2 linked regions of the Schizosaccharomyces pombe genome follow. The main gene of each other region encodes a partner of the protein of the gene in region 2 in a complex. Each region holds a gene or a part of one and is shown on either strand. Other genes may lie near its edges.

What was found.
Region 1: psf1 (region 2) and psf2 share a complex: the UniProt entries of both Schizosaccharomyces pombe proteins name them as parts of the GINS complex.

Annotation. Positions count from the first base shown.
Region 1 is NC_003423.3:1,227,648-1,230,861, reverse strand, and holds psf2 (GINS complex subunit Psf2), read left to right. Parts: upstream 1-1,674; 5' UTR 1,675-1,834; coding exon 1,835-2,386; 3' UTR 2,387-2,554; coding exon of another isoform or gene 2,555-2,696; 3' UTR 2,697-2,714; downstream 2,715-3,214. Other genes in the region: acetylglutamate synthase Arg6, read right to left, coding at 69-1,571; nbl1 (borealin N terminal domain-containing protein), read right to left, coding at 2,555-2,696, 2,768-2,936, 2,986-3,100. UniProt on the Schizosaccharomyces pombe protein: The GINS complex plays an essential role in the initiation of DNA replication. Has a role in chromosome segregation and is required for bir1 localization.
Region 2 is NC_003423.3:2,013,466-2,016,796, forward strand, and holds psf1 (GINS complex subunit Psf1), read left to right. Parts: upstream 1-1,896; 5' UTR 1,897-2,034; coding exon 2,035-2,643; 3' UTR 2,644-2,831; downstream 2,832-3,331. Other genes in the region: alp5 (Ino80, NuA4 and Swr1 complex actin-like protein Arp4), read left to right, coding at 1-898; serine/threonine protein kinase Ppk32, read left to right, coding at 2,930-2,954, 3,105-3,331. UniProt on the Schizosaccharomyces pombe protein: The GINS complex plays an essential role in the initiation of DNA replication.

The DNA.
Region 1 (3,214 bases), 790 kb from region 2:
GTTTGACAAGTGCTTTTGAAGAAGCGAAATAATCTTGTCTCTGATAAAGTGCAATCGTTAACTTCCACTCAATTCAACCATGTTGGCTGAATTTTATCAATAACGCTCATATACTGGTTCACTCGATCCAAATTTCTGACATGTGAGTCTCCAGTCCAGAAAAGTTTCCAAGGTGTTTTGCTTGACTTTAAGGAGCCTACACTTCTTTCAAAGTACCATTTATTGACTGGATTAGTCAGGCGAGAGCGCCATATCAACTCTTTGGGAAATAAATCAGTCATAACATTAAACATAACATCAGATATTGCTGCTGAACCCTGGGCTCCTTGTGAGACGGCAAGCTTATCAAGATAAGGGACCTTTTCATTCGTTGTTCCATCTGGTTGTTCATAAGTTACAATGGCTGTCCCTAAATAGTCCCCTGCAATAATGACTGCAGCTAGCGAATTCTTCAACCTATCTAAATATGCGTCCATATCAAGCGTTCGCTTAAAGGAGTCATTAATTAAAACCCAAAGCCTTTCCCACGAAACGGAGCCATCAGTTAGACATTTCGGACCTAGGAATGTATATACCGGTACACCGCTACGCAAAACAGTTGTTTTCGTAATAGGAGATCGATCGCGCGGCAAGGAACATGAAATAATAGAGCGATCCGTCAAAACATTGTGAATTAACGGATTTTTGTCTAAGACAGGATTTGTAAGCATAGCATCCTCAGGCGTAGTGATTAGAGCAGAGGCATCATCCGGTAACATTTTCAAACAGCGTCTTACCAAAATCAAATTTTTTCTATGATAAGGTGGAAGTGTTTTCGCTAACTCGTCAAACTCTTGAGCCAGATTGATGAGAACATGACTAGAACCAGTTTGTCGTTTAGAACATGGCATGCCACCATTTTTATCAAGAATGACGATTCGGTCTACCCAAAACCCAAAGTTTGGCTTGTGTAACGAGTAAGTTAAACCAGCAAGAACCTCATTACCATCAATTGGAACCTCAATGACGTTGGGCATTAAAATCGAGCTTGGCACTATGACCGTGTAAAGTGAAGACAGCGCTTGAAAAATACCTTGCACATTCTCAACACTAGGGCCTTCAGGGCCCAATTGACATACAGAGGAGTAGCTAGGACGGGTTAACACTCCCGCTTTCGAAAAAATTTCCGAAACTCGAATGACTCTATTTTGCTGTTGCTGTAGCTCCTCAAAGATTGAAAGTTTACGTTTTTTCGCTACGACCGTACCATTCTCCAAATATTTAAAAGGAGATGTCATGCCAATTGGATTGGAAGTGGGAACAATCACTGATTGAATCCCTAAACGTGCCAGGCTATTTATACTTCGACCAATTCCATATAGGGTATTATCACTTAAAGAATCCACATCATCAATTTTGGTAATAGAAATTCTGTTTAAAAACGAACTCGATATTGGCTGAGCGAAGGATTTCTTGTTGGGAGAGCCATCCTTAAGCGAAGAATGTTTTTGCAAAAACCCTTTCGTAGACCTACGAGATTGGACTGATTTCAATATCCAAATAAGGTCTTGTGACAATGAAGGTTTTTGCATTCAAAATTATTACCTTAAAACGAGAAATATAAAAATTTGACAATCATATACCGATGACCTAAGAGCAAGATGTGATTTAGATGAGGGTGACTATTATGAGTCCGAAACCCACCACACAAAAAATTATGCTGTAAGGAATAACAACCAATAAATGCTATAAACGAACTCCAAAATAGAAAAACAAAACTTTAAATAAAAAAAGACATTAAGCCCAAAAACGGTACTATTGATAGGCATTTTTGTACTGTTCGTTGGTGATAGAGATGGCCTTACCAAGGGAACTTGAAATTTCATTCTCACCAGAGGAAATGGAATTTTTAGCTGGCAATGAGTATATTAACATTGTTCCTTCAGAAACAATGGATCAATTGCCGCTAGTTAGCGCGACGATTCCCATTATGAAGCCTCCCAAAAAATGTCGGGTTCCTTTATGGTTGGCTCTTGAGCTAAAAAAGCAAAATTTGGCAAGGATTGTACCTCCGGAATGGATGGAAATAGGCAAACTTGAAAACATACGAGATGATGAATTGGAAAACGAGACATTCTCAGAGTTGCCTTTTCGGTGGCTAGAAACGGCGCATTTATTGTTAAACTTCTGTGCTGATGATATCGAGGATGTTGAGGATATCAGGAGGATTTTGCTGGACATTCGAGAAGCTAGACAAAGTAAAGCAAGAACGGGATTGGAAGCCATTAATGAAGTTCAACTAACTTTGGATAATTTGGGTGCAATGGAAATTAACGAAATACGTCCTATATTTCGAGAGGTGATGGACAGAATGCGCAAAATTGTTCAAGTTTCCCAAGAAGAATGAGTTACTCATCAAAAGTAAAGTGGGAAATAAATGGACTTCACATGAGAATATTTCGGTATCGTGTGGATGATGTACTTTAAAAATAATGATAATGAATCCTACGAAGTGTTTATGAATACCAACTTTGTAGTAGTGAAATTTTATCACAGTAAGCAGTAGATGAGGGTTTCACACTTGCGACTTTGAACTCGATTTGGAAACGGTGGTGCTTTTTGATGAAGAAGAAGAGGAGGATGCCACCGTTTTTGTAGGTTGTCTAGCGGACTTTTGGGAGGAAAGCTCGTCTAGATTATAAAATTCTTTTATTTTTCTGAAATAGTAATTAGCAATTAGTGTTTCCAGTAGTACGTATGGCAAAGTAAAATTTGATATTACACTTACGTTCTCCACGGTGTGGCAGACACATTGCAGGAAAGATGGTTCTTTAGATCGCGCAGATGCATATTTCGTTGAGCGCGAGGAATAGCGGCGATACGCATTTCTCCTCGCATACGAATTGTTGAAGCAAGTAAACTAGCGTTTGAGCGCAAACGTCGTACTTTATCGGAAACTGAAAAATACCCGTTAACACTTTACTACTTCCAGGTACAAAAACTTACGTTCAAATGCTAAATTTTCAAGTATATCGTTCTTGTGTTCTTGGAGAATTCGCTGTCGTACTTGACGATGTTTCGTCTCTCCAAGCTCTTCCACTCTTTTACGCTTGTTCATCATTAAGCATTATAAATTATCAAAAAACAAAACAGATGTTTGCTAACAGCTGATCAAAAGACGGTACTTCTGGGTGCGCTGAAAAGGTGGTGGGAATAAGAGTTGTTGTATAAACAA
Region 2 (3,331 bases):
GGAGACGTGTGCGGCGTTTGCAAGCGGGAAAGGTACTGCTTGTTTAGTAGACATTGGTGCGGAGCGTAGCTCGGTGTCTGCTATATATGATGGTTTTGTGCTTCAAAAAGGCTATCAGGTTCAACATTTTTCTGGGAATGCAATTAACGATATTTTGGCGCAAACTCTCAGGGATAAGAATTTCGAAGTGATGCCTAAGTACTTAGTGAAAAGCAAAAATCCAGTGGAGATAGGGCAGCCAGCTAATTGTGAGTTACGTCCTCGTGATACTACAGATTCTTATCATCAATTTCAGGTCCAGCGAGTCTACGATGAATGGAAAGAAGAATGTGCTCTCATTTCCGATGTTCCATTTTCATCTGAAACCACGATTGCTGAATCAGAGTTCGAATTTCCAGACGGTTCCCGTATGATGTTTGGCGCGGAACGCTATCAAATTCCTGAACATTTGTTTGTGCCAGGAAGTGATGAAGAAATGAACGAGGAACCTTCGAAGCCAATAGAACAAACCGAAAATAATGAGGTATCACAACAAGATTCTTCGGTTACCAACACTTCTTCTCGCATTTTGGGGATACCTCAGTTGTTCCAGAACTGTATTTCGGAATGCGATGTTGATATCCGTGCTTCTTTGCTCAACAATGTTATTGTTTGTGGAGGCACTAGTTTGATGCAAGGATTCTCTCTTCGTCTGCAAAATGAACTTTCAAAATTATATCCTGGCAGCCGTCTTAAAATCCATGCTTCCGGTCATGTTGTTGAACGCAGTTATGCTTCATGGTTAGGTGGATCTATTTTAAGTAGTCTTGGAACGTTTCATCAATTATGGATATCACGTCAAGAATATGAAGAACATGGTTCTGATCGTTTGGCTTTAATCGAAAAACGATGTAAATAATACGTGTAATGATAATTACTAATCTCTAATGAACCTTTAATTAAAAGTCGTTGGATTTTAGGGAATTTTCCTTAAGTGGAAAAAAAGGGGAAACTTTCGTTTGAAATAAAAAATAATTGAGATATTATTACTTTACGTATGAGACTCTTTCCCTGTCCTTATACCTATCATTTGAAGAGAAAATATTGGATCATGTATTTTGCTATCATCAATAAGCATCAAAAGTTTTGTTTTTGTAACAGATTGTTACTCTGGACTGGTTCGTTGGCTCTTTGTGATATTCATGCTATTGAATTTGTGTAATCTTCCGCAGATTATACATAAAGCGGATTTTTTTGAGTACGGCCAATACATCGATTGGATTTTATGTTGTAAGCAGAAAAGAAAGTCTTACTGACAAAATCATTTTAAGCTACATTAAAGCTCAATTATTTGAAGCTAAATATGCCTTGCCATTTTTTGGATATGAGTGATAGGTTTTAAATTGTACCCCTTTAGATTCTAATTTCTCATCAATGTGATTGTTTTATTCCCTTAAAGCCCTGTCCGATGAAGCAAGCACATCGTACTGTGTTCTGAATATTACGTGAGAATTGTAATCATTGAATGATATCCTTTCTTTTATTTTGAAATGAAACTTTATCTGGTTTCTATAATTTTAGTAGCAATGATTTGTAAGTTGATAATTTGAAGCTTCGTTAAATCATCTCTTCATTCCATGTGTGACGATGTGAGGAACTCGGTTTAATGATACCTTTAGGGCTCATTCAATCCTTTGAATTAGTATACATTACTTTATGAAACTGAGGTAATCCAAGTAAGTATACGCTTCATTTTAAATCTGTGTGAATGTTTAAATAATAAATTCTTAAAAATTCGCATAGTAGGTTCAACTAATAATTTTGTTATAAAAGATCCATGTTTTATTTACAGTAAAATTTCTACTAAGGAATGCATCATTATGGTCTTATGAAAGACATGTCATTTTCCAACGACTTGTCATCCACAACCATTCAATATAGCTTTAAACAACTATCGAGTGTCGTTGTTAATTATACTAATCCGTTTCTTTTAAACTAAACATAATTAGGAAAATCTGTTTAAGCATATCGTGATAGTTAGTGCTTCTAATCACTATGGAGAATGGTTTGGGGAATCGATCAAATAAATTAATTCGGGACTCAAAGCGAACTCAGTATTTAGATTATCTCCCACCTTACCAAGCGGACACCGTTAATGATGTTGTCAACGAAATTCGTGCAGCAGATCGCGAAAGTCTAGGAATTCTTCAAAATGTTACACATGAGGCTAGTCAACCTTTCCAGCCCCAGGACCATCCTTCTGAAGCGGCAGCTCTATTGATGTTTCATTCTTCTAGTATCTACAATAAGCGATGTTTAATGGCTTACCATAATTTAAGGCTGCAGCGGCTTCGTCAATACTGTTGGAGCGGAGGCAAACGAATGGAATCTTGTTTAGATACATCTCTAAGTACTTATGAGCGTGACTATTTAACGAGATATTCAGAACTTTTGGCTGCTTATAAAGGCGCTTGGTCCGAGCTGGATTTGACTGGTTCTTTGGTTCCTCCTAAAAATTTGTTCATAGACGTCCGAGTTTTGAAGGACGTTGGAGATATTGAAACTGAATATGGTACTATTAACCTTACTAAAAATTCACAATTGCATGTGCGTGCTACAGACGTTGAACGACTCATTGCCCAAGGTTTTTTGGCTAAGTTATGATTATCAAACTAAAAAATACGACTTTCTTATAATCTTTAATTAATTGTCTTTTTATTTAATCCTCTGTTTCCCAAATAAGAGTTTCACTGCTTTTTGAACTGACCCTAAAAATTTCATCCATAAGCCATTCATTCCTACCATCTCCACTGTATACTACCGCGAAAAAAAGGTGTTCAATTTTTATACTTGGTTTGCTTCGAAGGGATTCAAAAATAATTATAATTTTTTCTTTTTGTTTTTGTTGTTTTAAGTTGTTTTTTTCCAAAGCCATCCACTTTTTCAGCTTATGTTAGCCAATGCACTTCGACTAGGTATGCTATATTCCTTGATAAACTCGATTATCAGCGCTGTATGAAAGATTGTAGTTATGTTTATGTAATTGATCATCCTCATCGTCATTTCTATAATCTATTTAGATACATTTCGTATCCCAAGTAAGTATTCTAACGTTGAATGTTTAGTATCAAATTCCAAAAAAATTAAATATGATTATGATATCCAGAAAGAAAATTCAGTCCAAGTAGGTCCTTGGACTGTTTATTCGGCATCCAAAAAGGGAACCAACGAAGAGGTTTCAGTGTTTACATTTGATAAAAAGAATTTGTCCACCTTACTAAAACGCGGGTCTATTGACTCCAATTTGAAAACAAACTATGTCTTAGAGCTTTTAAGAAAAGATGTGTCTTCT